Rhinolophus ferrumequinum: one gene and its partners. The protein of the gene in region 3 binds, or shares a complex with, the protein of the main gene of each other region. Links are inferred from orthologs where the notes say so. Each region holds a gene or a part of one and is shown on either strand. Other genes may lie near its edges. The genes, in order: CENPC, HJURP, CENPA and NTMT1.

Region 1 (7,121 bases), on a different chromosome or scaffold from region 3:
CAGTGAAATTTCAGAAAAATTGAGGATGAAAAGATCCTAGAATGTTTGCGAATGAAAGAGAAAACAGGTAACCCCAATAAACCCCAATAGAGAAGCAGTCCTAATCAATGGGAACCACAGGAAAAATAAAATACACAGACAAGCTATATTGGAGGTCAAGAGTCTATCTGAGATACTTTGGGTCCTGTATTTCAGTTGTAAAATCTATAAAGTAAAACTAGTTACAAATTGGGTAGCAATAGGATGAAGTACATGCTTTTAAAAATGAAAATATTATCACCAATACCAAATATTTATTAAGCCTCACTGTCACCTGGCCCAATGGGATATAGATGACCCCACCCCATGTGGACACTCTTTACCCTGTTCATGCTCTGACATCCTGAGCTGGGACACTCTCCTGACTCCACTCGTGCTCCTACACACTGCTCTGGGCCACTGCCATTTCCTACCCATCAGGACCCCTACCTTACTTGGCACCACCTAATGGCCCTTGGATCGCATTATTCAGGAAAATGAAGACCTCTATCAGATTTTAAGAAACTTGAGAGCAGAGACTTTGTCTTAAGCTAGTTTATATTCTTCCCACAGCCTTGCTTAGTGCATTGTATATCACACATTTAATATCTTTTTGACATGCCAAATAAATAAGACCAAAAACTTATGAGATAAAAATGTCTTTCTTTAAAGGTGAGAGTTTCACAGAGCCTGTTATCCTCAGGAAGTAACTAAGGAGCAAAGGATAAAATATATTTTACAGGTAACAAACTAAAGAACAAAGATATCTAACAAGTCTCCGTTCATTATTTGATGAAAACTAACTCAAGCACTTTGGTCTCTGTCCAGCACTCAGCATTCTGAAACTGAAGTACAGCTCTGAGAATGTAAGTTAACAACCTTCTAAGGCCTAATTTGAGGCCACTCTTCTCCTAATTTCACACAATAAATTAAAAATATCCATCAAATTTGCAATGTTTTTGAACATTAAGTAACACCTGTTAAGTACTCTATTCCTCTTTCAAATAGAAAAAATTAAGGATTAGATAGTTTATTCATTAGAATACTAATTGAGGACCTAGTACAGGGCCAAGTGCAATTTAGAAAACATGTGATGAACAAGACATGGTCTCTTAATTCTAAAGTAAAACTTAGAATGCAAAAACTTTTAGTTTTCAAAACAAATGCACACTCAAAAACTGCCACTTTCAACTCATTATTCAGTCAATTTCAATTTTAGTTTCTTCCATTCACTGTGAGATTCTGTTTCTCAAAGAAAAAAGATACAATTCAGCAGTTTCTAAACCCCAGCACTACTAACATGGACTGAATGACTGCTGTGAGGGCCCATTCTCTGCATTTCGGGATGCTCAGCAGCATCCCTGGACTCCATCCACTAGGTTCCCTTAGCACCCCTTCACCCACCCCCTCTCAGGACAACCTGAAATTTGTCCAGACATAATCAAATGTCTGGTAGAGGGTTAAAGCCACTCCCAGTTAAGAACTACTAAAGTACTAAAGTACAGGAATGACTAAGGATAATCTCTCCTCCCCCCCTTGCCTTTTAAATGGATTATGATGCAAAGTCAATTAGAACTAAGACTCAAAATAGATCTCAGGTGATGACAGGCATTTGAAAAATGAACTGTGGTCAAGAGAATGAGTAGACAAGGCAGGCTGAGATAAAATATTTGCAAAAGACACATCGGATAAGGGTTGTTATCCAAAATATACAAAGAACTCTTAAAACTCAACAATAAGAAAACAACCAATTAAAAAATAAATGGGCCAAAGACCTTAATAGACACCTCACCTAAGAAGGTATACAGATGGCAAATAAGCATATAAAAAGATGCTCTACATCACGTCATCAGGGAAATGCAACTTAAAACATGATACCACTACACAGCTCACTACACTCCTTTTAGAATGTGACAATGTGTCAGTTCATCAATTGTAATAAATGTTCTCCCTCTGGTGGAGGTGTTGATCATGAAGGTGGCAATGCATGCGTGAGGACCAGGGGGTATATGGGAAATCTCTCTGTACCTTCCTCTCAATTTTGCTGGAAATCTAAAACTGCTCTAAAAAAACCAAGCTGTTTTTCCCCCCCAAGAACTGTGGGCATTTGGTAAATTTTATTCCTTCTCTTCCTCCAGCATTCCTTTATTACATATAATATAAACAATGTATGCGCTCACAGTAGAAAGCACACATTATACAACCCTTGAATACATCTCTTTGTGCATACAAATATAACTTTATATAAATGGGGCAGTACATCGATGCCGAAGACGTTCTTAAACAGGGAAATAAAGTAGAAGACACAAGTTTAGGATGGGGATGACATGGGTTATGTATTATATCGTAACCAGAAGCGATGTGTGCAATATAAAGAGTGAATACAGAGTAAGTTCAGAAGCATGTAAACAAAAAATGAGTTCCCTCCCCCGTCGTTTACAGCTTGCACCCTTTAACAGCTGCCCTTCAGAAAACTTCATCCGTAACAGATGCTCCATAAATAATCTGCTTCTCTAGACTGCGTGTCTGAGGCAAAGGAAAACTTTAAGGCATTTCAATACTTTTATGGACAGAAAATTATTTGGAAGACTAGGAATTGGAGTTAGGCTACAAAGTAGAAATCACAAGATTCTCTGAAGAGAAAGATGCCATCACGGCCGGAATTACAAGAAACCTTGAGAAAACAACACAAGTAAATAAACTCTGGCTATCGGCACACAATCACTCCTGATCTCAAAAACTTCGCGCGGCTTTCCCACTGAAATCCCCAAGAAGTCAGAGCACCGGCCCAAAGTTTCATTCTTCCCCGCCTCGGGCGCGAGGGTTCTGGGGCGGCCGGACTCCCACCCGCCAGAAGGTGCCGGCACCCGCACTTACCAGACCTGACGCAGCCATGTTCCGGCCCGGCTCGCCTGCGCAGGGCGTTTGGGGTGGCAGCCCTCACAGGCCGCGGCTTGAGGAAGCCCAGCAATGACAGAGTCACGAGAGGGGCAGTTAGGCGGCGAACCAGGAGCGCCGACGAAGTGAGAGGCGGCAGGAGCAAAGAAACTTGGAACCAACCAGAGCGCAGCCGCGATCCTCCTCATTTATTGGCTTGGACTTAGGCAAACACCGGGGTGTGGCGGCCTCCACAGTTTGAAACAGCCTGCACATGCGCAAAACAGACCTCGCCAACCAATAGGAAGAAAGCCGTTACAAGCCTGTGCCCTCCTTGTACCCGCCCACAGTCCCGCCCTTCTGTAACCCCGCCCCACGTTCTTCCCATAGCCCCGCTCTGTCCTCCGGTAGCTCCTTTCTCTCTTCCTCCCTTAGCTTCATTTTCCCTCCTCCCCACGCGGAGGCTGGCCATAAAGCTGGGTTTTCACTTGGGAAGCACGGTCTTAGGAACGTTTTTTTTCCCCTTTGACTTTTCAACGATTCTATTATAGAGTAAAAAAGTTATTTTTTTGTTGAATGTGTGGGTAATATTTTCGTGATGCATGTATGACTTACGTACATGTATATCATTAAAGCATGATGCCCTGAAAGGAGTACTAGATCAGGAGTCTTGAAACCTGCTTAGGTGACTGGCTATGTCCTCTAGGACAAATTGTGGCACTGTTCCGCTTATTTCCTTAATTATATACGTAATGGGAAAGCTAAATTAGATGCTCTGAACACTTCTTCCTACATTTTATGATTCTACCAAACTGTATCCTATTTCTATGATTTAATAAAAACTCGCATGGTAATTTTAATCAAAAAATACATTAATTATTGAATCATTAAGAGTTGAGCTAAGGCCATTTTTTTTGGTAGGGAAGAGGGATTACAAATTAACTCTGAAATCAGAGAAGCCCGAGTTCCACTATACTCCACTAATTCTGCCATACTGAGCAAGTTAATTAAACTTTCTCAATTCCCTTGTCTGTAAATGGGAATTATATTAAAAGTTTTGAGATGCTGGATTAATTCCTTTTAAGATCTAGGTGATATGCCTGGAACATAGTAAGAATTCAATAAATAATGCAATTGGTGTTACCATGGTGATTTTTTTTTAACTTGGTCTAGCAGACATTTTGCCAATCAGACTTCATTATATAATTTGGTGTTGTCACATTTAGAATAGATAATAAAAACTCATTTAGTGAGTGTGTACTATTTGCCAAGTTCTATTCTAAATGCTCTACATGCAGTAACTTATTTAATTCTTAGAACATTCCTATGAGAGAAGATGATTAATATTCCTATTTTACTATTTTATATATAACAGAACAGGGACAGGGTTTAAGTTACTTACCCAAGATCACACTACCATTAAATGACAGAACTGGGGATGAACCCTGGTATTCTGACTCCAAAACTGAGCATTTAATCACTATACTTTTTACCTCTCCCTGGGAAATTTTAGCAAGCTCAATCATAGCTGTAGGTTTCCACATGTACAATTATATCCCTCTGCTTCCACTGGAAACAGTAATTCTCAGAGGTATTTTGAGAAACTTGAAAAGCAATGACATGCTGGTGTAAAATGCAGGACGCAAAGGGTGTTGGGGATGAACTGCTCTGTTCTCTAGAGAAAATGGAGGAGAACCATTATGAAAACACAAAGTTATGGAGACTCCAGTGCCCAAACTTTTCAGTTCCCTCTGCATCTGTCCTAGTATTTAATAGCCCCACCATGGTTTTGGCATCCCCAAATAGGGCAGTTTCTAGATAATTGAGCAATGTTTTTAAAATCCATATTTATCATTATAGACCCTTCCCCCTCAAAATACATCAACTGCTATGACAAGTGACTAAATCTTTAAGTTTTCCATCACAACTATTTACCTAAGTAAGGTGTGTGCGTGTGTGTATGTGTGTATGTATCTGTCTATGGAAATATGTGTATTAAATATGTATATGGGAAATAAAGTATCCAGAAATTTAACTTGAAAGTAAAAACTTTTAGTTACTTATGATTTTGTGTAGTAAAAAATTGTAATTGTTAAAAACTCCTTTAAATAATATTTTAAACTTAAATATTACACTTAAAAACTTAAAAATTACACTCCAAAAATCAATTTGCTCTAGAAATTATAACAGTTGCAATTATAACTTAAAATTTGCTAAAGTGAAATAAATTTATTTGTATAATTTTGAGTTGTATTTTTTAATATAAAATTTCAATTATTCTCTTTTTACTCTGCACTGCCAAATATTGGTCCATCTGCTAGGTACGTTCACTTTAAATAGCCTTTTTTGACAAAATTATCCTCAGATAGAAAGGCTCTATTAGACTGTAAATGCCAAGTTAATAGTGTGCTTGCAATATGCCAACAGGTGGCAGCAATGTACACACACACACACACACACACACACACACACACACACACACACAGTTTTACTTTGCAATGGGTGCTTAAGGTCTGCACTGAGTCCTTAATTCTAATACTATATATAAACTGACCTTTACATTTCCCTAGTTACCTCTAATTTCCACTAAATAATTATGATATGGGTACGGATAAGAAAAAAATCTGAGATGTTCTAAATTAAATTACAGTGGCTGGAGAGTGAAAGAGAGAGAACTGTTAGTCTGTTAATGAATGGCTGCAGGCCCGTTAACCAAAGACGTCTCACATTCCCCTTTTAGCTGTTGGGATTTCAAATTAATTTCTACATATTATTTTAGCCAGGCAACATCTAACTCCAGAGCCTCTGTTTTTTACTTACACAGGGCTACCTGAACTCTGCCCCCAGCCTATGCACAATTCTTTATATGGACTCTGCTATCCCAGAGCTGGCTCTACTTCACCTTCCCTCACCCCTATGTCTATAGCTCATGTAAATTCTTTGAGAATACCTCTTTCTTCCCCCTTCCTCCTACTTGATGTATAGAAAATGATTGCAAAATCTGGGACTACAGACATGATGTCTTTTCTTCCTAGCCATACTGCTGGTGGTTTAGACTCCATGCCCCAGGACCAATTTTTTGGCTAGTATTTTTGTCTCAATCAAATCTTACTAAAAAAACAAAACAAAACCACAAAAAAACACTTCAGTCGTGGAAGTTAAAGATTTCTAGTTTAACACTACTTATTGTCAAATTTATCGTCTCTTCACTTACAAGGTCCCATAGAGAAACAGAAGTCATAACAAAAATATTCACAATAGAGCTGACCCCTTAAAAATTCGTCCATATTCAACTCCACTCCTACAGCTTAATATGAGCTTCTGTCCTAGTCCATCGTCCCATTGGATCACTATCATTTTTGGGTCAGTCTCACTCTGGTTGTCAGATATATAAAACAAAACAGAATACAGTGTAAAATTGATTGCAAATCAAACATGAAAATCTTGCAAAAGATGAACGGCTTCATACGATTCAGTATTACTCAAAAAGTCCTCAAAGTAAATGCAAGGCCAAAGACAAATGCAGAGTTAGGCCAGTTAACTTGACAAGCTTGATGATATTCAAGAGAAGTTTGAAATGTCAAAGGTTAACATCATTAGCCAGCAGATAAATGCAAACCAAAACCACAATATGAACAAACTTTTCACTTGGAAAAAGGTTAGATCCAATGTTTAAAATGGACAAAAACATTGAATAGACATTTCATCAAAGAGATTCAAATGGCAAATAAGCACAGGAAATGATGCTCAACATTTGCATTTGGAAATGCAAACTAAACTAAAATGACACACCAGCACACACTAGAATGGCATTTTTTTTTACTACTGACTATACAAGGTGCCAGGAAGAAGGACCAGCAACTGGAAATCTCATACCTTGCTGGTAGGAATGCAAAACGGTAAAGTTAAACATACATTTAACATACAACCCGGCAATCCCACACTTTGGTATTTACTCCCAAAGAAATAAAAACACATATCTACACAAAGAATTGAATACAAATGTTTACAGTATCTTTAGTCATAATGGACCTACACTGGCAATATGCTCATCAACTGGTGAATGAATAAACAAATTGCAGTACATCCACACAGTGGAACACTCCTCAGTAATAAAAACAACCAACTGAGACATGCAACAACACAGATAAATCTCAAAAACATTATACTAAGTGAAAGAAGCCAGACATCAAATGCTATCTATCTGCTGTGTGATTCCATGTATG
Region 2 (7,940 bases), on a different chromosome or scaffold from region 3:
CTTTTCTTTTTAATTTTAAGCAATACTCAGCTACATGCTGTCCACAAGAAATCCACTTTAAATATAAAGACATCAGTAAGTTTTTTAAAAGGAATAGAAAAGGATATACCAGTTAAACTCTAATCAAAACTAAGATGGAATGGTTATATTAATAACAGACAAATTAGACTTCAGAACAAGAATATCCGAGACAAAGAAAGACATTATAAAATGAAAAAGTGATCCATTCACTAAGAAGACATAAAAACCCTATGAGGATAACAGCAGAGTTTTATATAGGAAGCAAAAACTTGTAGCATTGAATGAAGAAATAAACAAATCCACAATTTAGTTGGAAAACTCAAAACCCTTTCCTCAGTAATTGATAGAATTCTTTTGAAAATCAATAAAGATATGAAAGGCCTGAACAACACAACCAAACAACTTGACTTCATTGACACACGACAGCAGAATACACCTTCTTTTCAAATGCACCATCACCAAGACTGACCATATTTTGGACCTTAAAAACTCCTCAACAAATATAAAAAGAGATGTAAGGAACTGGCTCACGTCATGATGGAGGCCGAGAAGTCCACGGTCAGCCCACACTGCAAGCTGGAGACCCAGGAAAGCTGGTGGTGTAGTTCCAGTCTGAGTCTGATGACCTGAGAACCAGGAGGGCTGATCGTTTAAGTCCCAGTCCAAGAGCAGGAAAAGTCCAAACTCACTCAGTCAGGCAGAGACAGCAAATTCTCCCTCCATCTTTTTGTTCTAGGAAGGCTCTCAATGCATGCAATGATGCCCACCCACCTTGGGGAGGGTAACCTGCTTTACTCAGTCTACCAATTCAAATGCTAATCTCTCTTCAAGGTAGAAGGATTAGGTATTGAAATGGGAGTTGTTTTTTTTTCTGTCAAATTCATTCAAAATTATAGAATGAAGAAAATTCATTAAAAGTTGTAAAATATATATCCCATTCAGCAACAGGAAAAAAATCTGGTATATAAGCAAGACATTTAAAATAAGAAAACAAAAAAATAAATAAAATAAGAAAACAAGTGAGAATTCCTTAAAAAAATTTTTTTTAATTCTGTACATTTTATAATAATGTTAAGAAATAATTGTGATAAATGACAGAGACACAGAAATTATTCTTATTTCTTGCAATAAGAACATTAGAAGCAATAGTGATAGGAGTTGAGTATTAAAAGGTAAAGATAGTTGAGAGAAGATGTAACACTATTACTGTAAAAGCTAATTTTAAGTAAGGACTGGATGCACCAAAACTTTTCCAAAAACACAGCAGTTGCCTTCTGTACTTTTTAAATTAACTCCAATAAGCCATGGGCGGTAAGAAGGAACTACAATGGGTTGAGGAAAGAAGAAAGGACTGGACAATCCCAGGACATTTCCAAAGTAGGTAAATTTTTTTGAAAAGTATTTTGCAAATTACCAATTAACCTGGTGCCTCCTGTTGTAAAGTTATTCACACATAATAATGGAAGAGCCGATCTTTGCTCCAGAGAAAGAGGTCCTGAGAGTTTTCAGATCCATAAATAATGGGACTGATTAAAAATAGGTCATCCAAATCTATCTAATTGCCTTCTATTTTTAATGTAAATTCTTTTCATTGATTTTTAAAATGGATAGCCCATTAAAACACATTAATCATGACCCTAAAAGTGTATCTGTAGAGCAAAAAGCCTAAGGTGAAGAATAAAAAGCAATTTCCCACCACATGAAACTGAGGCAGGAACATCACCAAAGAAAGCTGGAGCCCTACTTTTCCCAGGAAAAAAACACATTTCTGGGTAAAAGCTGGGAGGAGAGGTATCATTATGATAAAACGTTGTTCAACTGTATGACAGCGGTTTTAGAATGTCTGGAACCATGTGTGTCCTATTTAGGTAAATGGTCTCTAATTTTGTAGAGGCAAGGTAAAATACATGATCGGCTCTGCTGTGTTACATATCACATGAGAAATGCACACTCACAATCGCGGGATACAATTCATTCTAGAAAATGAAGCTAAGGAAAACTACTGGAATACTAAAACTAATCCGTCATCCAGCGATAACACCAGAAACATTTTGATAAATACATACTCGGATTGTTAAAACATACAACGCATATTTTTTAAAGGCAGATATATAATACATGTTTGTAACCTCCATTTATTCTAAGAAAAAAATCATGTTTTTGATGCCAATAAATATAATTTTTCAAAACTGTAGTTAATGGAACACAGATATGTATCACCATTTACTCAACCTTCTTTCTAGGATTGGACTTTATAAACAGTGCTTCACTAAAAATCTTACAGCTAAATCCTTGCCAACATTCTTAATTACTTAATTACTTAGGATAGATCTCAAAAAGTAGACTCAGTAAATCAAAGAATAAACATGTTTTGTGAGCTTGGACTGACACCTTTTGGAAAGTTAATTGTTTTTCAGCTATTTCACAGTCCCTTTGTTTCCATCAGCCCTAGAATGACAGAAGAAAGTGAACCCTTTTCTTGGCGGCCTAACAGATGGGGCTTAATACTTGCCACGATCTCAGACTCACGTTTTCACTGTCACATAGCGAGAAGTTTTTGTAAACGCTGGGAACGGCCCAAAGCTGTGCTTCTCCAACCACAGAGAGGTGGTGACATTTCCACACCTTGCCAACATAAAATTATGTACATGGCAATTCTATGCAGAATAAATCCTCATTTGTTATATAAAGTTGTATAAAATGCAGGCACATTTTATGAGAGCAGACATAAAATAATTCCCGCGAGAAAGATTTCCTATGTGTAATCATAATTTTAAGCAGCACTTTAAGGGGTGAAAATTCTGGCCATGCCAGCAGAGGACACTGCGCAGGCTCAGCCCGAAATGGAGATCCTGCAGCAGAGCTGACCACTTCCTCATCTCTGCTGCCCCCGGAAACCCCTTGAGACGCAGAGGGGCTACACCAGCCACTTCCACTACCAGGGAAGGAGTTCACTTGGGATCCTTCCCTGTCATATGGGGGTGAGGAGTGGTGGAAGGGGAGTTTGCATAGCAGGTCTGGGTTCCTGAGGTCACATGTTAGGCTGCTATAGGTGTCTGTGGGGGTCAGGGGAGGGTGTTTGTAGGGAATGGTGTCAAATTGGGAGCATCCTGCAGGACTCCTCCTTCCGTCGTTGGGCCATGACTTTGGCCCATGGGATGGGGAAAGCCAGTCAGAGAGGACTGGGAGGCCAGCAGGCCTAAAGAACAAGGGCCAGTGCACGTTGGTTTAGAGGGGATTGCCAAAGAGAGTATGTTTTTGGACCCTCATGCCTTCTCCTGAACCAGCATGATTCCTTAGGATAGAGGCAGGTCCTTGGACACTCAGTGAAGCCCTGGATCCTGAGAGTGGCTTTCTAGGTGTAGGAGAGCCAATTTTGAAAAGTATCACTATCTCGCTTGTTAGTCATGAAAGAGAAAGTTTTCCAAGAATTAAAAGAGACGATAAGGAAAACCCTATCCAAGATGTCAAGTCTCTAAATGTGACAGTCACGTGTTTGAAAAACAACCTGAGTGTGCCAACAGAGTGAAAGGAAAAGCAGGTAAAGTTCCTGAACACTCCCTAGAGGGAAGGAGGGGAAAAGCTCAGCTGACTCATGAAAATTGGACAGCTACAAACGGAATGTGTACCATCAGGTCCTCGTTACAGGCTGGGTTCTCCAGGTGGCAGAATGTGACAGAGTTAGTGTGCAGGATGTTAACTAGGGAGTGCCCTTCGGTTCGGCGGCTGGGAAAGAATGGAGACTGGACAGGTTGCCTCGGCAGATTCCAGGCGGAATCTGAAATAACCCTGTCTTCATATTCCCACCTGGATCAGCCGCTGGATTTGGGGCTGCACGACCGGGGGTGAGGGGTCCTCTGCACCTGAGAAGGTGCCTGCCGACAGCCACCAGCAGCTGCGGTGTCTTGAAGGCGGCTCTGGGTGGCCCATCTCTGAGTCCATTACAATACATTTTCTGGACACTCCACTACGTGAGCCCCGGAGTTCTTCTCACCTCCCTTACCCCCAATTTCTGCTGGATGGCATGAGAGGATTGGGGCGCAAGCTGAGCGAAGATGAAGAGCCCCAGCTAGGGACCTAATGGTGCTCAGTTATGCTCTTCTTATGTCACGTACTATATGGTAATTGTATCAGCATCAACACATGAATATGACTAAGTTATGAAGCTGAATAAAACTTCTCTAAAATGTACTTCGTAAACTCGACCAACCACACTCGAGGAAAGACTGCATTCTCTTTCTATACTTTAGAGAAAACATTACAACATTAATATCAACGAAGAGTCTGAGTGCGCAATAAAAATATATATACGAAAAAGGTGTACCAAGAGAATAAAAAATTATATTTTCCTGGATGCTCAAACGTTTACGATATTTCTTTCTAAACGTATGTTCCCTTTCCTGCCTCCTTTTGTATTTGTAATTTGGGGGGTCTCTTTCTTGTGCCCCTCCCCCTCCCCCCCTACCTCCCCCCCCTCCCCCCCTACCTCCCCCCCCCTCCCCCCGGCTGCTCTCGTGACAGCGCGAGGGCCCAAGGCGGGCGGGGTGGCGGAGCCGGCTCCGGGGAGGGCGCGGGGCGACGTTTGGGTGAGGGGCCGCCCCCCACTCGGCGGCGAGTCCCGGCGCAGGTCACCCGGGCATCTCCTGTGCACAACCCGGGAAATGATACGGACTTCACAGGACTCTCGCCATTAACCGGCAACCGACGGGACTACCGCGCCACTCCCGTGCGCATGTGCGGCGGCGCACCCCGCCCACTACTTCGGAGCCGAGCGGCTGCGGGAACTCCGGCGCCTATGTTTGAAAGGCCCAATCAGCGCCCAGCCTCTCAGCGCCAGCCAATGGAAAGCCCGAGGGGCGGCCAGGAAGAGCGGAGTCCCTATTTGAACTGGGGCGCGGGGCGAAGCTCCCAGTCCCGTTTCCTGCGGGAGTCGGGGTTTGGGTCTCCGCGCGCCATGAAAGACGAGGTGCTAGGGGAGGATGCACTGCTGCAGAAGCTCAGGGACAGCCGCCGCCGCTTCCAGCGTCACATGCAGCAGTTGCTAGAAAAGGTGCGGCCCCCACCGGCCCGCTGGGAGGGGCGCGAGGCCGGCGGGGAAGGGGAAGACGGCGTCGGGGACTGGGGAAAGGAGAAGAGCGGCGGGGAGGGAAGGTGGAGACAGGGTGGGGAGGCCTGGAACGGGGAAGGTGGGTTTAGGGCCTGGAGATGAGGAGAGAGGAGGCAGGATTTAGAGTGGGGGGGGGCAGGGGAAGGAGTGGGGAGGTTCCCAGACTTCCAGCCTCGTGCTGTCGCGGGTCAGTGGCTACTTGCGACCCTCGGACCTGATAGGGCGCCCCTTTCTCTCCTGCAGTACAACAAACCCTTCGAGGATGCCCCGCTGGTGCAAATGTCCACGCTTACCTACAAGACATCCACGGGTAGGAGTCATTTCCCCTTTCTGAATATTTACAGTTAAGAGTGTGAACAGAATAGTGTCTTCCTAGAGCTTGAAATGCTGTCCCTGCTCTCTTTGGAAAATAATACCTGTTCGCCTAATAGGAACTAAAACATTACGAGTTCCCTTGAACCAATAAGTTAAATTACTTCTTCCAAACAGAATTACTTATCAAAACAGAATCCTGAAGACAGATGCGTAGTGGTTAAAAATGCCCCTGCCTGGGTTGGCATCCCAGCAGGCCATAAAATAGCCGTGTCAGCTTGGACCTGTTGTTTTAGCCAGGCTATGTGTCAGTTTCTTTATCTGTAAAATGGGAGGATGATGACAAAAATATCTACTTGGTGCAAATGTGACAGTTATATATGTGAGTGCTTGTGAAGTTCTTGGAACAGTGCCCTGCGCTAGAACACTCGTATTGACTGTTATTTGTTTGACTTGGAATACTAACTGTCCTTGAGATTCTGTGTACTTGGAACTTGGCTTGAATCTAGGGAGAAAGAGCCTTTCTGTTTAATGGTTGGTGTTGCGAAATAACTTGAATCTCATGGAATCTCTTTAGTAAATAGCTGGAGAACGTTTGCACGGGGTGAAAGTTTGTCACGTCCTCCCGTTCAGCCTTATTACCAGCTCATTACTACTAATGAAAGCAAATCTCAGATTCAGTTTTGCCAAGTGTTGGACAGACAGGTACAAAGAGGTTTCATAAGACTTACTCCTTAAATGAAGACCTAGCCGTCTTCCTTCTCAGCAGACCCAGCCATACCTTGGTAGAAAAGTTTCCGCAGGCAGGACCTAAGGGATTCCAGCTGCAGGTTTCTGTTGCTCTCGCATCTACAGCAGGCGGTGACAACTCCAACCCTAGGGCAGGACCCAGGGCTCTGCAGGAATCGTGCTGACGGACTTCACTGAGCACGGGCCGTGTCTGGAATATCTTGGCCAGTTCACATGTCTTCAGTGCCACTGATTTCACCAGTGAAGACTCATTGCAGACTCCCGTTTTGATGAGAACAGTAGTTGAAGTATCTGAACACCTCGAGAGCAATTACACTTAACATGTAGAAGACCATGTGGAGAGCTTGTTAAAACACAGATTCCCGGGGCTCCTGACTGCGATGCTGGATTCAGTAGGTCTTCAGTCTAACAGGCCCCTAGCTGGTGACAGCAGAGGTCCCCTGACCTGTTGCTTAGCCTGGAGAGGCACTCGAGGAGGGAGTGGCCTGTCTGGCTAAATGCTAGCTGACCACCCTTGCAGCGGGAATGCCCACTTAGGGAGTAGACTGGAACTGACACTTCCACACAGTATGGTGAAGTCAGCACGAAAGTAACAGTGGTTCACGTGTGTTGACAGCTAAGCATGTGCTTCTAAGGGTCTCCTGTTTTTGATTCTCAACACTGTGAGGTAGGTACTGTCCTTAGAATCATCCTCATTTCCTAGCGGGTGATACAGCAGGGAGAAGTTAAGGAGCTTATCCCACGTCACTCAGCCAAAGTGACCAAACCTGGGTTTAACACCAAGAGCATTTGCTCAAGCATCACCCTGTTCTGGAAAGGCTGCATGACACAGTGGTCAGGAACACGTCACTGTCCCCAGTTCACAGCCTGGCTCCACCACGCAGGCAAGTGTCCTGGGCTAGTTACTTGACCTTCTTGCTGTGCCTCCATCTGTACAGTGAACTTGGTGAGTGCCTATCCCGGAGGGAGTTAGGAAGTCCTGTTTGAGTGACATGTGAGGGACTTTGTGTGAAGATGACATGAGGTGCACTTGGAAAGAGTTTAGAATAGAGCCTGGGACGTTGAAAGCACCGTGGAAGTTTTGCTGCCATTATCATCATTCACAACCATCTCAAGCCTTGAACCGCAACGACCTCTTCTGATTATCTGGAATCGATCTGGGAGCAAATGAAGGTTTAGGAAGAGATGAAGTGTCTGGCCCAGGCTCTGTGACTAGGAAGCGCCACGCCTCCAACGCTCAGTGTTGGTCTCTGTACTTGGGGCGTGCTCTACACGTGTGGAGACTGTCCTATTTTCATTTAGCTTTGTGGCTTCATGATGATGTTGGACCAGCAGCTGCCCCCTGGGTAGGAGAGATTTTCATTACTGACAGGTTTTTGTCTAATCTTGATTTTTTTTTTTTTTAAGACTTCAACCTCACAAAGATGAAAAACAACCAAAGATCAGAAATACAGCTTGGTTTTAATATTATAACTTTCTTTTGCCTGTCACTTTAGTTTTCTATGAATGCAGATTAAATAGACTTGGGGTTCAGGATTACTTACGTGCTAATTTTTATTCCATTTCTTCAGGATGGAGAGTTTGGGGTGGAAAAGTACTAAAGAAAAACAAAGGACAAGCCCAGGTATTTATTGTCACATTTTATTGCCACCATTCCTTGCCATGGAGGACTACTGACGGGATAAAGGTGTGGGTGAGCTGAACAGCACCAGGGGCTTCTGGAGGCCACCACAGGGCAGTTCTTCCATGG
Region 3 (7,003 bases):
ATAGACACTTTGAGAGATATACACCTTATAACCTTAGAGGGGTAAGGTAAGATAGGAAACCCACGACCCAAGAACAAGCGGTTATGAAAAGTAGCCAATGAAAGAGATCATGGGAAAGAACTGGGATTAAACATTCAGCAGCTGGGTCTTGAAAGGCCAACATAAGGAGTTGGGATTCAATCTTAAGGTTTGAAGCCATGGAAGAGCTTTAAGCAGGATAGAGAGGGGATCCACTTACATTTTGAAGTTCATTCCAGCTGTTGCATAAGAGACAGTGTGGAAGTGGAGTAGTGGCTGGGTTAGGATGCTGGAGGCTTGGACTAGGCTGGTGGGAGTACAGATGGCAACAAGTGACATGACTAAGGATGCAATTTGGAGGTACAATTGCATGAACTTACATTTGGATTGTACATGGGGGTGAGAGAAAAGAATGTGCCCCAGGTTTCTGGCTTGAAAAACTGGGTGGATGGTTGTGCCATTTACTGAAATGGGAGAAAGTGGGGATGAAGAGGTAGGAGGGGAGTAACCAAAAGTTCGTTTTTGGTATGTTAGTTTGGCATACCCAAGAGCACTCAGGTAGAGAGGCAGTTGATATACAAATCTGGGCTCAGAGGAGAGATCTGGGCTAGAAGTACGAATGTGAGAGCTGTTGATGTATGAGTGGAATTAGAGTCATGGGAAGGGATGTGACTCCCTGGGAAGGGAAAGTGAGGGAAAGGATACCAAGGAAGTCCAACATCGAGCTGATGAAGAGAGGTGGCCCAGGCAGTAAGAAACGACAAGCAGGAACTGCAGAGAGTGTGTTGTATCGTGGAAGCCAAGGGGACAGTGTTTCAAGGAGAAAGTGGTCCACTGTGTCAAATGCTTCTGAGAGACAGCAAGAATCAAACAGACATGTCTACTGGATTTGGCAACACTAAAGTAGCTGTTGACCTCGACGAGAGTAGTTCGAGTGTACTAGAAGTAGGGGTAGTGGTTGTGGGGAGTCAGATGGGAATGCGTTGAAGGATTTCTGGGAAGAGGGGAAACCTACTTTTAAGTCTGGCTATTTTAAAATGGGTAGCTAGCAAGGGCAGTAGAGAGAAATGGGGAGTATGAGGGAGACGGGGATGTGGGAACAAGGAGCCACCCCTGCTCTTTTTCTTTAGATTAGAAATAGCAGAGCACATTTACAGAATGCCAGTGTAAGGAGTTGGAATTTAAATCGAAGTGCAGGTGGAGAGGACAACAGAAAGCTTTGGGAAGGTGAGAGAAGAATATGACCGCTAGCCCAGTAGATGGATAGGAAGGTAGATACCTAGGTTCTCTGTTGTGAGAAGATAAAGGGAATACAATCTAGAGGCTTCTATTTCCTCAATGAAGCCTGGGGCAAGGTCATCATCAGGTTACAGTGAGGTAGGGTTGGAGCTGCAGGAATTTGAAGAGGAAGAAAAAAATCATGGAATAGTCATTGGAAGAAGGGAAAAGCAAGATTGCTGAACAAGTGCAGTAGGATTGCCAGGAAGTGTCAGTGTCCATCTGAGAGAAAAGATGGACCAGGAATGGAGGGATGCTTCTACATCAAAAAGCAACTGCAAACACCATCCTTAACAATATTCCTGTTAAGATTACGAATGAGACAAAGATGGCTAAAACACCGCTCTTATTTCAGTAGTAGCCCCAGGGCCTCATTAATACAATACAAAATAAAATGTATCAAAATGAAAAAGAAGACTTAAAAGTCTTTATTTGCAGACAATATAATAGCCTACTTAAAATTTCAATCGAGCAACTAAAAGATTATTAGGATTAACAAAAGTATGCAGCAAATTGGTTGGCTGCAAAGGTTATTTATGTTTAGAAAGAAAAAAAAATCTCATTCACAATGACAACATTTATAAATAACCTATAATGTACTTTTCCACCCTGCTCTTGGCTAGGTAGCAGAAGACAAGTAAAGCAATTGTTGCCGCAACGTACAGTTGGTGCATCTCTCATTCACCAGAACAAAGACCACAGAACAGAAACTAAGGACCACAGACCAGTTGTCTTTCTGGGCACCCACGTTGGGAAGGGAACAAGGGGAGAGCACTGCTTGAGTTAAGGGCACTGGGTAAGCCCCAACACAGCCAGTCACAGAAGGAAAAACAAATGAAACAAACCTGGAAGGTCATCTTCTAAAAGTAGAATTGCTTGAAATCGTCACAAAAAGCAGCCAGTAATTTCGCAATTTAAAAAAGCACAAACACTGAATTTTAGAAATCCTGCATCTGCCAGAACAAGCTGTGTGACCTTGTTCAAGTTACCTGGCCTGTCTGTGGCTCAGTTTTTTCATCTGTAAAATGGGCACAATATATATAAAACTAAGATAACTCAAGTAAAAAGTTTACCAAAATGCCTAGTTAGGGGTAAGCACTCAACAAATCCTAGTACATCAAGAAGTATTAGTATTAGGAGCCAGGTTGTCTGGGCCAGTCCTTTCTCCTTCTTGGAACTGCCTTCCCCAGTCCCTCCCCAGGCTTGAAACTTGGGCCCTGCTCCGAACAGATGCTGGAAGGCCAGCGGACCAGGCGCAGGGAGATCGGGCTCGATGTCAGGCTCCGCAAACGAGCCTCGGTTTTCTTGTCTGTGAAATGGGCACGTAGACCCGGCCGTGCCCAGCTCACAGACAGGCTGCAGGGGGACAACTTGGAGGGAAAGGGGCCGCGGCCGGTTACCTGCGGGGGCGCCCCGCCGGCGGGGGCCGGGTGCCGGGCTCCCGGTGCGCCTCCTCGGAGTTTCGGGCTTGCGGCGCCGGCGGGGCGGGTCCATGGAGGGCGCGGAAGGTCTCGGCCCCGCGGTTTCTTCTCCGCCTTCACGGTTCGGGCGTAAAGGCTGGCGTCTGGGGTAGGCTTAGGAGCGCGCTAGCCACGTGTGCCAGCAGGGAGGCTGCTCCAGCGCCACCTGCGCCCCCTTGGGTTCAAACGGCCCGCTCAGCCGATTCATTGCCGGCGTTTTTTAAAACCCGAATCCTGCGACTCCTAGTGGCTGCCTCTGGAGCAGAGCGACTGCGGGGAGGACCAATGAGAGCACAAAGCGAGAGATTAACGGAGGCGGTGATAGGAGGAGGAAGCGGGGACATGGCGGATCGACGGTGGAATCAGCCAATAGACACTTGGAGAACTGAAAATAGGCGGGAATTTTCCCTCTACGTGTTTGTCGGGGATGCTGTCAGCTCCACGTCCTCGGGTGTCCTCTGGTGGAAAAAGGAAAGCTCGACTCTGGAGACGTAGATGGTGTGTTTGTAGAACGCGTTTCTCTAGACGAATCACTTTGCTCAAAGATTTTATGCTTTGCCTTATCAATCCTGAGGTAGCTTTTAAAGATGAGGAGGCAGACCCACAGAGAATGTGACAACCCCACGCCATATCTGTGTCCCGTCCGGGAACACCCCACGAATATGACTCAAAAGCCAGTTTAACTGCATGAACATTATTGATTAGGGTCGTGGGACAGCCGGGATCCCGGGTCTGTAGATGCGATCAGGCAGGGCAGGCCTCAGTACTATTCTTGGGTCACACGCTCTAGCACTGTCATAGAATCGTCCAAGGGAAATGACCCCTCCCCTTCCTGTTGTGGACAACCCGTATTCAGGTCAAATGTAGTTAGAAAAAGGGGGATTTGATTTTCTACGGTTTGCTTTCTTGCATTCTCTAAGTGTTCTATAGTTACTATGAACTATAATCAGGAAAAATGTCATTGCAAAATTAGTGATTTCATGGAACCCTTGTTCACTATTAGTGGGAATGTAAAATGGTACAACCCCAGGAGAAAACAGTATGGTAATTGGTCATAGAATTAGCATATAATCCAGCAATTCCACTTCTGGGTATATGCTCAAATGAATTAAATGCTGGGACTTGAACAGGTATTTGTACACTAATACTCATAGCAGTGTGACTCACAATAGCCAAAAATGTCCACATGGATGAATACACAAATTGTGGTATATATACATACAATGGAATATTATTCAGCCGTAAAAAGACAGTAAATTCTGACACGTTACAACATGGATGAACCTTGATGGCATTATGTTAAGTGAAATAAACCAGACACAAAAGGACAAATATTGTGATTCCACTTATACGAGGTGCCTAGAGCAAATTCCTAGAGACAGAAAATAGGATGGTGGTTGCCAGTGGCTGAGGGTAAGGGTATGGGGAGTTAATAATGGGTAAAGGGTATGGAGTTTCAGTTTGGGAAGATGAAAAAGTTCTGGAGATGAATGGTGATGGTTGCGCAATAATGTGAATACATTTAATGCCACTGAGTACACTTAATGGCTAAAATGGTAAGTTTTACATTGTGTATATTTTACTGGAAGGAAGGAAAGAAAAAGAAGAGAAAAGGGAGGAAGGAAAAGGAATGTTTGGTTGAATCCAACGAGGTGTAGTCAAATCACGGAAAGATGATTGGTGTTCAGTAATCCAGATCATCACAGAGGCAAGAAGTCCAACTACACCAGTCCTCAACACCCATTAATCAGACAAGGCAAATCTTCACTCATTAATTCTGTTTTAGACATATAGCTCCTATTTTGTTCTAGTGAAGTGGAAAACAAGGTAGAAAATAGGATTCTTTTTTTAGATTCCACATAGAAGAGAGATCATATGGTCCTTGCATTTCTCTGACTTACTTCACTTAGCATAATGTCCTTATACAATATAAGATCCTACAACCAGGTCTCTAAAAAGTCAGAATCTCCTCCTTGGATGGTTCTTGTATTTATCCTCGCCACCATTTCCCTAGTTCAGACCCTAATTAATCAAAGGTGGTCTTACTGGCCTTTAGTTCTTCCTAATGCTAATCAAACCCATATAACCAAGTGATCTTCCCAAACAGCAATTTGGATCATGTTACTTCCTTGTCTAAAACTCTCCAGGGCATCCTACTGTCTACAGAGAGCCCTGACGCCTCACCAAAGCCTAAAAGGCACGGCATTATCTGGGAGCCTACCCTGCTGTAGCCTTGTCTCTGGCCACTTCCTGTGTTGCATGCCTATTGCCAGCTGTACCAGTCTACTTACCTGCAGTTCTCAGGTACATCACCTTGTGACATACGTTTCTGTGCCTTTTACAAGCTGTTCCTGCTTCCTGGGATACTTCTTTTCCCCCTCCCACGCCACCAAGCCTAGAAGACTTCTGCCCATCCTTCAGCACTCGGCTCAAGTGGAGCCTTTCTCTGAGTTCCAGGCAGTTAGCTGATCTCCCCTGCACCCCTCCCTGCACCACCTCCCCTGCACCTCATACAAAGGCCTCTTATTGCACAGCACGCTGCACTAGAATTTCATTACACATTCGTTTTTCCTGTTTCCTTTGATGGATCCAGTCCTTGGAGCACATACATTCTTGATAAAGTTTGTTGAATTCTGGGATAGAAATCTCTCTTTTTTTTTTTTTTTGACAAGAGTTCTTAATGAAGAAGGGTGATTTGTAAACTTTCATGGCTACGTAGGGAGCTCCCTGCTGACCTCAGGTTTTGAAAGGATGTAGTCAACAAAAGGCCAGGGGGCTCTAAACCAAAGCAAATCGGAAAGAATGGTATCGATCGATAAACAGGTCAAAGGGATGAACACATTTAGGGCTGCTGAGAACCTCTCCTTTTTATAGGTAGCCAAGGTCATGAAAGGTAACATGACTTGTCCAAGGACAGCCAGTCAAGGCAGAGGCAGGGCTAAGGACACAGCTGACTCTTAATGTTGCTTCTTTCCCCTACACCAGGTGACCCTTTGCTCCCGTCCTCAGCCTGTCCTCATCAGGGGTCAGAGCTCTGACCTCCTGGAATGCTGTTTGCTTGTTAAACTATGCAGAGACCTTTGGACAAAGTGAAGGCAAGCAGAACCACTTGGCACGGTCCTACCTCTCTGCTTTGTAGGCAGATTCCTGACGAGAGGAGCCTGAGGCCTACTCCAGGGCCCAGACAGGCAGTCCTAAAGGAAACCCCAGCCCTAGGCTCCCTCAGAAGCACTCAGGGGCAGGGACTGATGAGTTCACCACGGTACAGATGGTTTAAATTACATTGTATTTGAACCAATGTTTACAGAAGTCTGATACCAGTCAATTCTTATTTGGGGGTTCAGCGCCTCTATGCCAAACTTCCACCATTTAGGGCCTCCTTACTCCACTGAGAACGGTAGGCCACAGCTAGACATTCCCTATAACCCTCCAGACTCACTGAGAGTAGAGGTTCTTACCCTCCATCTACATAATCAGCACGACACAGCAAAGCGTCTCAAACTCACCCCCCAAAGCACAACAGGATAGAGTGAACACATCTCCAGGGTCTGGGATGGTATCTACTGTCAGCATGAAATATTCTTGAGGCTTCTGTTTTATCCTCTATCACTATAACTGATATGAATTTTGCATTTTACTCCATGACGGTATTTTAATAAAACATTTCTTTCCCTCTCAGCAAAGCTGATGCCATGCTGTGCTCAGCTGGGACTTCAGTGCCCCTGACAGACCACCCTGGTGGACAGTGGAGCTAAACATACACCCCACTGTGTGTTAACATTTATAGGCACCTGTGATTTATTATCTTATGTAATTTTCATACTCATCCCGTTAGGCTTTCCCATTTTAGAGATACGAAGACCCAAAGCCCCAGGAGGTAAAGCAATTGGCTTGAGTCGGTGGCAGGCCTGATGGGGCATCCCTCTCCTCAGGCTATGCTACCCCTCACCACTGAAGTTCCATTATAATTCTCCCCAAAAGCTTTCACAGTCCTCCATGGCAACACTCAAATAAAGGCCAAGTGCTTCCCGAACACCCTCTTAAGCAGTTTGCACAGTTGAGCACAGAGGCTGGGCAGCCCATGGCAAAGGAACAGTCGTGGATTCTTCCAGACTCCCGGCTGTGTTCCCTGTGGCAGAAAGGGGTGGGCAAGGTCTGGGAACCAGGAACTCTGGCTTTGCCCATCACTGGCTATATGACCTTGGGAAGTTCCTTCCTCTGAACAACATATGGTGGACTGGGAGAGT
Region 4 (8,158 bases), on a different chromosome or scaffold from region 3:
ACAGCAGGGGCCCTGGCAGCGAGCTCAGTCCCACCGCGCCACTCAGGAGGGAGGACAGAGGAGAGGGGCCGTTCAGCAGCTCCACATTCAGCCCGCCTGGCCACATCATGGATCTACTCTGAGGCACTGGCACTCCTCAACAAATGCTCACCCCGCATGGGCACTGTCCTAGTTGCTGTGAGCTTGTCAACAGACAGTCCAGCCCCCTGTCCACGAGGAGAGGCAGCAAAAATGGAACCGACTGAAACACAGGCAGAAACAATGAGGGCTCTCCCTGAGCCCAGAAGTGCCGTGGAAACTCAAAGAATGGAGGAATCCTTTGCAAACGGCAGACAGGGCCGCAGCCAAGAGGTGACACCCTGACATGTGTCACTGTCTTTCTCTTCCATCACACATGGCATGTAGGTGTTCAACAAACAGTTCACTTCCTAGTAAATGAACAGAATAAATCTTTTCATTTTAAATAAATAAAACTTACCTGGCCGTACTCTCTCTGCCTAGCTGTTGGCCTTCCCTCCCCAGATGTAAGCTTCCTGGGCGAGGGTCATTACTTGGTACATCATTAGCCCAGCACGTGATGAAGGTGGGTGTTTGCTAACTGGTTGTTGAGGGAATCCAATAATGAGCTTTGTACAGCTACAGCCATTTCCCACTTTTAAGAAAATCCCACCGACAAAAATCTGACCGTTCGAAACTGGTAACACTGAAGGCCATTACCGATGATGTGATTTTTTTGCTTTTACCAAAAGCCTTATAACATGATTCCTTTAAATGTCAAGGTCCCCTGCATAATCTAATTTACAAGAATTCCACTTACAGGCAGATTCTAGGAATAAGCCAGGGAGGCACATCTAGGCTGGGAAATGGCAAGTGTAACTTTGACATTTGTTCTAACAGCTGACTCATTAGTAAACATGACTCCTGGGGCCCTGTCTACACTTTGCTTCCCGGTGTCCAGACTGGAGTAGGCCGGAGGTCCCTAGGAGTCAGAGAGAACAGTGGCTTGTCAGTCAAACAGCAGGACGTGCTCCTACACTCTGCCCAGACCACAGCGAGGAGCTGGGGAAGGGGCCTGGGCACGGCTGGCTTTGTGTGCGCGCTAGGCTAGCTGGGAGGGGAAGAGAGAAAGCCTTTGCTCCCAGTGACCGGGTAGATTGTCTGCGCATCGGTCACGGTCATCCGGCCACCTCCTGCTCCCCCGACAAGGTGTTCAGGGGAACACCTGACTGCCTGGCCCAGCTACCTCTCTTTTCCCGGGATCCGCGGAAGAGAACCGTGTTTGAACTGTCACTGCCGTGCCTGGCAGAGTCATCCCATCCATCTCATTTCCAGGCTCTAAGGAAAAGCCAGGAAGCAATAGGAGGCCCGAGGCTGCCTGAAGTCACCTCCCTCCTCCTCGTAGCCTGCTGCACAGGGTCTGTTCTTGGATCTGTGTGACTGCAGCTGGACATATGAACATGGGAGGGAAGTCTATGAAAAAGAAAGAGAAGGAAGGAGAAAAGGCAAACAAACCAAGAAAAAGGGGAGGGGAGGACTTTAACACAAAGGCTCAGATAAACCAGGTCTGAATCCTGGCTCTGCGGCTCGCTGGCTGCCAAAGCTCACATAAGACACTTGAGCTCAGTTACGTAAGTTTCTTTATAAAACGGGAGCAGCAATACTGACTGTATGGGAAGACTGTGATGATTAAACGTGGATCGAAAAGCAGACGGGGATCCATACAGTGCCCGGCACACATTACCAGAGATTTCTCATCTCTGTCAAAAGAGATTCCCGTCAACGCCTTCGGCCAATTGGGAGGATGAAATGAGAAAAATGCACCGAAGGGCCCCAGACATTGTAGCGTGTTGGCCACACCTAAGGGATTATCACAGTTGTGCTGCGAGGTCCATCCTGCAGCCTCAAACAACTCTTGACCTGCAGGGGCGGGGTGGGGACTCCTCATCCTGTAAGCACAGAAGGACTGCAGATTTCGGAGATGCTGCCTTTGTGACTCTGTGGCTCCTGGTCTCCACTAAAGCATTCCACATGTACCTGCAACCCTGCCACAGCCCCGCTGACAGACAGGAGAACCATCCCACTGAAGGAGTGGGGTGCCTTAAAATACACACCCACACCACAAACCGGGAACAGAATGAGCTGGGAACCCAGACATCTTAACCAGTCAAGGCCCTGGCCTCCCAGGGGCTCACTCCATCTCACGGGGCAAGGATTCTACACACCCAGGCCCCTGCAGCTCGGCCCTTCCCCAAGGGCAGGGCCTCTGACCCCCGCTGTTTCCATCCCTAACTGCACAGAGAAACCAGGTCCTGAGCTATCACACAGTTGATGGGCAGCAAAGCCTGGGCCTTTCGCTATGACGGCCTCTCCGCAAACTGCCTGACCTTGGCTCCAAGGGCTCTTGGTGGATTGTCTTTTGAGCGGCACCTGTGTCAGGCCATTAACGGGCCGGGGCCAAGGTGAAATGTGATCGCAACTCCTATGCAACGGGCCCTGCCGTGTGCCCGTCTCTGAACTGAGCGTTTTACTGTATCCTGGCACCCACCCGCCGAGTGGGTGCTCTCCTTATCCCCGTTTCTCACAGGGGAAACTGAGGCTGAGAGGGGGACAGGGGCTTGCTGCGGCCCAGGGACCGGCGGGGAGGAGCGCTCGGCCCCGGCTTTGGGGGCCCCGGCCTTCCTCCTCCACCCCCCACCCGTGGCCCAGGTCAGACCCACAGACCTTCCCAGAGCGCGCACGTGGGGCCCCGGCCGGTTCGCGCCGGGTCACGTAAGGAGCCGGGGCCTCAGGGCGGCGAGGCAGTTGGAGGTCGAGGCCTCGGCTCTCCCGGCGGCCGCCGCCCCCTACTCCGCCTCGCGCTACTCACCCCGGGCGGGGCCTCCCGGGACCCGGGAGAAGAGGATGGGGAAGTGGAAGGGAGGACGGCGGCAGCGAAGACCCCACAAGCCCACAACCACCTCCGTCAGACCACTGCCAGACGCGACACCTCGCGGCGCGCGCTGCCTTTGTCCGCACACGTAACTTCCGGGTGCGCCGAGGGGCGGGGTCACGGATGGCTCCGCCCCGCAATTGGCTCGCCCCGCCCATGGGCTCCTGACCTAGCTTGACATTTCTGTCCCTGGAAGGACGTCCCAGACTTAGAAGAGCCGCAGCGCCGACCCTCTCCCGCCTCCAGCACGTGTACCAGTTCATTGGGAGGGCTTAAGGCTGGACTTTTAAACACGAGTGTTCTGTGGGTTTTCCACGGGGTAAAAAGAGGGGGAGCCTTATTCCTCAAATCCCGCCCATAACACTAGTATCTTAATAAACAGATCCAAAAAGTAAAGAAGAAAAAAAAGAAATACCCTTAGCCATGCCAAGGGTTTGCCACCCCAATTAAGCAGAACAAGTCCATAAATTTTCCATTCCACAAAGGTTGCCCTTCTTTAGGCTCCTCCCATATGTAGAAATTCTTGAGCGTCCCTGAAGCACCTTGATGGAAACTGGAGTTTGCAGGTAGTTCTTGTGAAGTTCTTCAAGCCTCATTCTCCTCCTCTGCCAGACAGATGAAATAATTAGTCACCTTGCAACGTTCTGACGGTTAAATTTGTGGGATATCGCACGGCAAGCCCTCAGCCCTGAGCTTGTAGCTGTTATAACGAAAATATACAACCTAACTTCATTTTTCCTAGACTGACATCCTAGTCTTATTGACAGTGTCTGCCTCTGGGCGCTGCACACAGGAGGTGCTTAAAGTGTGTTTGCTCTAAAGAAGTGAAAACTATGTGGGGGCTGCTGAAAAGCCCCACCTTCAGCGGAGTCCCCTAAATCTATGTCCATATTATTTGGCACCCTCTCTAGAATACTCCAGGTCAGCCTTGGGTCCCTTTCCAAGCTTCATTTTCCATGTTTCTAAGGGAAGGGGATAAATCCTCGGTGTCTATAATCTTATTTGAGGGCAGCTCTGAGCTTAGCTCTTTTAGGGGTGCCTAAAAATCCACTCCTACCTTTTTTTCTGTCAACGGAAGAGGAAGTCCCTTCCCTACACCTTCCATTCCTGGCTGAGGAGTATTTGCAGAAATGGAACACATAGTCTGTGGTGCCTCCTCCAGGCAGACGCCTTATAATTTGAATTACAAAGTCTTTTTTCTTTCCATTTTCAAATTGTAAAATTATACCATGCCGGTGAAATTGCTGGTCCAAGTTACCCTTGTCCCCCACTCGAAATTCACAATACAAGCTTCTTCCATGCCCCTTGCCAAACAAGAGTCACAGATGGGGTACAACAGTCCATTTTACCATGGCGCCCTGAGAAAGGTCCAGCATCGCACAGCACACAGAAGCAGATCAAGGAGTCAAAATTGATTCTCTTAGATTCCGGGCCCACTGCATTCATGCTGCCCAGCCTTCCAGTGGAAGTTCTACTTCCAGAGACATCAGCCTCAATGTGCCTCACCTGGGCCTCCCGGATCTGGAGTGGGAAGCTGAACCCCGGGCCTTCCATCCCTGATTTGGGCCTGGCTGTCCTGGTCAGGTGTTCCCCCCGCCACCCCCTTGTAACTGCAGCCTTGGCAGCCTGTACAACAGCCCCGCCCTCTGTCCCCAGCCTCAGTGCCCACTGCTCCTCACATGACCTTGGGTGAGGGGCAGGTCACAATGAGTCTGAAGAGGTCCTTAAGGCAGCAGGGAGGGGCCAGCAGAGGGACCAGGCCAGGAAGATGGGCTCCCCCCAGCACCAGCCACCTGTAGGGGCCTCTAAACTCACTGGGGCCTTCTCTGGCCAGGCCCTGAAGCCTCAGTAGGGTGAGTATGTCACTAGGAGCCAGCTCACAGCTGACTGCATCTGGGAGTGGGGTGTGGTGGGGAGGAAGCAGGCTCCGAGACCCCAGTGTCAGAAGCTGGGGGCAGGTCTGGGGCTCTCTCTTATAAAGGGGGAGTTTGTTAAAAAACATGTGTCTTGGCCCCACCCCAGACCTTCTAAATCAGAATCTGGGGCATCTGTATTTTCAACAAGCTCCCCACCCAAGGGGGTCCGAGGTCCCAGCAGGAGACAGATGCTGAGCAACTTCCAGGTTTCCTAATTCCCAGGGGACCAGGAGAGCGAGCGCTAAAACAGTAACAGCCTCCAGGACTTGACACCCCGATGTGCTAAGTGCTCTCTACCGGGTCGGTATTTCACTCTTACAAAGGAGCAGGTCCTCTGTTATCCCCATTTTGCAGATGAGGCCACTGAGAGGAGTTCATCAGTTGGCTTGCCCCAGGTTATAAAGCTATTAAGTAGTGGAGCTGAGACTAAATCCTCAGTAATAATTTAAAAACCATCATAATAATAGCAGCTTGTGTCTGTTGAGCACTTACGACGTGCCTGACACTATTCTAAGCCACTTACGTGTGCTCGCTCAGTTGAACGTCACAGCAACTCAAAAAGGTGGTACTCTTACCGTCACCATTTTCCAAGGGAGGGAACAAGAGGCTCAGAGAGCTCCAGCCTGAAGCCACTCGGTGCCTGGCGAGCCAGAGATGTTACTACCCCCAGACCACGGTTCCCCGCTCTGGGCACTATGGCCGGGGGCTGGCCTATGCTCTCCTCTCCACTTCACACGGCACCCCCTGCCCCCACTGGCGTGAGAAGGCCCTGAGCTGAGCGCAGGGTCAGACACGCGGCGGCGTCGCCCCAAGCCCCGCCCCCAGCAGATGGAGCCCAAGGGGTTCCCCAGCAAGGGCGATCGCGGAAGGAGAGACCCTCTTCTGCCCAGGCTGCCTTCACATGAGCTCCGACCAGCCGCTGGCGCAAATAGATGGGGGGACTCAAGGGCCTCCGGGGGCGGCGCCGAGGGATGGCAGGCCTCCAGCGGCGAGTCGTCGTCGCCCACAAACCTGGGGTGGGCGTCTGGAGCACCGTGCGGCGCCTTTCCGCCCTGCCTATCGTGCCCCAGCGGGCAGCGCCTAACAGGACAGGGCTAAGGTCGCTACGGCCCTCGCCCCTGCTCTGGGCCAGCATACCCCGGACACTGGGGTCCCAGCTCCCCCAAGTCCGGAGAGTGCGAGGTCTCCCGGAGGGGCTCGGACAGGGAGGCCCAGGACTCCTTGGGTGCCCACCTAGGAAAGTTCCCCTCTAGCAGATTCCAGGAGTTCCTGTGCCAGATGGGGGCCGACTGCGGCCAGCAGCCACAGCCACCGAGTGAGGCCCTGTTTAGATCCCCAGGGGGCAGGGCAAGGGCGGGGCTGAGTCATGGGTGGGTGGGGCCCACCACCTTGCACAGAACCACCCTTTGAGGGCGGGTTTCTCATTGCCTTTGTTGTAAGGATGAGGAAACTGAGGCCCAAGTTCATAAAAGTAGGAAGACCCTAGTAAGGACTGTCCCCAAGCAAAGGTTCGTAACTATTTCCACCTCCTCCTGGCTCCCCGCATCCTCAGAACCTCAACCTCAAAAGAGTGTCCCAACTGCTCCTTCCTCCCAGACCTGAGGTAAGTGTCAGTGACCTGCTGGTGGGGAGTGTTGTCACCGACGCTCCGAAGGTGGTGGACCCTTACCACTCATGCCAGATGTGGCCTCTTTGTCTTCAAGGGGCCAGACATCATACTTTCAGAATAGTCCTAAGGAGATTTTGCTCCATCAGATACCTACCCTGGGGCCGCTGAGGAAAGATCACGCACAATTGACCAAGATCAAGAAGGCCAACAAGTGAGTTATGGGAGGATGAGGGTAGGGAGTAGGGAGAAAGAGCATTTCTTTCCTTCCCTTCTTCCCTCTGTCTCTCACCTATCTATCCACTTATTCTTCCACTTATTCATTCATCATCCATCCATGAATCCACCCATCCATCCACTCACTCATCATTACATAGACCTATCCATGAATCAGGTTTTCTCCTAACCCGTTCAAGGATCATCCGTCAACATCCATCAATCCATGTATCCATTAATTGGGTCTTCTACAACACGTTCATAATTCACCCATGAGTCCATTCATATATTCATTCTGCCATTCACCCATCCATCCTTTCATACATCTTATCTGTGATCCAGGTCTTCTACCACCTATTCATGAACCTCCATCCAACCATCCATCCATCCAGCCAGTCATCCATCCATTCACAAGCTCCCACACTTCCATCCATCCATCCATCCATCCATGAATCCAATTTGTAGAGCAATCCTTTACAAACCTTTCTATCCACTCATAAACCCAGGATCCTATTCATCTCTAATCTAGTCGTGCAGCCATCTACAAGTCCACATACCCATCTACATAATTATTCATTCACCCACTCGTACGCATCCTCCTAAGACCCAGTCCTTCTGCTCAGACCTTTCCTCAATTCACCCAGCGGTTCACCCATCTGTCCACCCTCTCACCCACCAGTCTTCAGTCCTTTTACCTATCCCACCATTCATTCCTCCATTTCTTCCTCTAACATTTATTACATTTTACTCCATGTTAAATATTGGGGGCAATAAAAAATAAAGGATGAAGGTAGGAGAGGAGCCTGGGCATTAGAGCTCACGGGGGCCTCGGTGCTGTAACTCTAATGGAGGAGGGAAAGAATGCAGAAAAAATTCCTCCAGCTTAAACAGGGGTGAAGGGTGAAGAGCATTGCCCACGAGTTGAAAGACCAGGGAGAGTAAATACACGATATACATGTCCTGCCTTCTCATCCTGGCCCCATGACAGAGGACATTCATTGATCACAGCACCTTTCCCCACTGAGCCTCAGCGCCCTTCCTGACACAGTGCTCCAGGCAGGCACCACTGATGGATCAGAGTAGGTGCCAGAAATGAAACACATTTGCCAGTCCAGGAACTTTAAATCAATCAGGCCAAATCAACACATCCCTTCTCACAAGACATAACAAATACAAGTTTGGAACTCATGGTCTCAAATGTCAGCGACCTCAGGGACAGACACATTCACAGTGTCCCATATTCAATAGCTAATCCTTGACCACGTTCCCATGTGTGAGATTCCCTGGTCGGCCCTAGAGAGGAGCAGGACTCCAGGGTGCATTAGCACAGGTTCCAGCAGCCTTTGAGGAGCAGCTGCGATTTCAGACCTGTGGGCAGAGCTGGGGAGTGCCTTGGCCTGGCCCGGAGGCCAGCACCGGGTGGCCGTTGATACGCTGACCACTGTTGGATAAGTAGGTACGATGCCTGTAGCCAGGCACAGTCTTGGACAC

The links.
Region 1: CENPA (region 3) and CENPC share a complex: the UniProt entries of both Homo sapiens proteins name them as parts of the CENPA-NAC complex. The link is inferred for Rhinolophus ferrumequinum from reciprocal best matches to the Homo sapiens genes CENPA and CENPC.
Region 2: the proteins of CENPA (region 3) and HJURP are in contact, whole or in part, in a crystal structure (PDB 3R45), measured with the Homo sapiens proteins. The link is inferred for Rhinolophus ferrumequinum from reciprocal best matches to the Homo sapiens genes CENPA and HJURP. Residues at the interface, in NP_001800.1 of Homo sapiens: Lys64, Leu65, Ser68, Arg69, Arg72, Asp83, Phe84, Asn85, Trp86, Gln87, Ala88, Gln89, Leu91, Leu92, Ala93, Glu96, Ala97, Ala100, Phe101, His104, Glu107, Asp108, Leu111, Leu112, Leu114, His115, Ile132, Glu136; in NP_060880.3 of Homo sapiens: Glu14, Asp15, Leu18, Lys21, Leu22, Ser25, Arg26, Arg28, Phe29, Arg32, Met33, Leu36, Lys39, Tyr40, Pro43, Phe44, Thr47, Pro48, Val49, Val50, Gln51, Met52, Ala53, Thr54, Leu55, Ile65, Trp66, Gly67.
Region 4: the proteins of CENPA (region 3) and NTMT1 are in contact, whole or in part, in a crystal structure (PDB 5CVD), measured with the Homo sapiens proteins. The link is inferred for Rhinolophus ferrumequinum from reciprocal best matches to the Homo sapiens genes CENPA and NTMT1. Residues at the interface, in NP_001800.1 of Homo sapiens: Gly2, Pro3, Arg4, Arg5, Arg6, Ser7; in NP_001273725.1 of Homo sapiens: Tyr19, Trp20, Met30, Leu31, Gly32, Tyr34, Ile37, Trp136, Asn168, Ile175, Asp177, Asp180, Asp212, Glu213, Ile214, Tyr215.

What each region holds. Positions count from the first base shown.
Region 1 is NC_046288.1:26,688,614-26,695,734, forward strand, and holds the start of CENPC (centromere protein C), read right to left. Parts: upstream 3,140-7,121; 5' UTR 2,914-3,139; coding exon 2,896-2,913; intron 1-2,895. UniProt on the Homo sapiens protein: Component of the CENPA-NAC (nucleosome-associated) complex, a complex that plays a central role in assembly of kinetochore proteins, mitotic progression and chromosome segregation.
Region 2 is NC_046291.1:5,347,118-5,355,057, forward strand, and holds the start of HJURP (Holliday junction recognition protein), read left to right. Parts: upstream 1-4,899; 5' UTR 4,900-4,975; coding exon 4,976-5,071; intron 5,072-5,371; coding exon 5,372-5,438; intron 5,439-7,761; coding exon 7,762-7,814; intron 7,815-7,940. UniProt on the Homo sapiens protein: Centromeric protein that plays a central role in the incorporation and maintenance of histone H3-like variant CENPA at centromeres.
Region 3 is NC_046296.1:53,767,275-53,774,277, forward strand, and holds the start of CENPA (histone H3-like centromeric protein A), read right to left. Parts: upstream 3,015-7,003; 5' UTR 2,791-3,014; coding exon 2,697-2,790; intron 1-2,696. UniProt on the Homo sapiens protein: Histone H3-like nucleosomal protein that is specifically found in centromeric nucleosomes. Replaces conventional H3 in the nucleosome core of centromeric chromatin that serves as an assembly site for the inner kinetochore.
Region 4 is NC_046295.1:78,074,947-78,083,104, reverse strand, and holds the start of NTMT1 (N-terminal Xaa-Pro-Lys N-methyltransferase 1), read right to left. Parts: upstream 3,022-8,158; 5' UTR 2,867-3,021; exon of another isoform or gene 2,722-2,866; intron 429-2,721; exon of another isoform or gene 152-428; intron 142-151; exon of another isoform or gene 1-141. UniProt on the Homo sapiens protein: Distributive alpha-N-methyltransferase that methylates the N-terminus of target proteins containing the N-terminal motif [Ala/Gly/Pro/Ser]-Pro-Lys when the initiator Met is cleaved.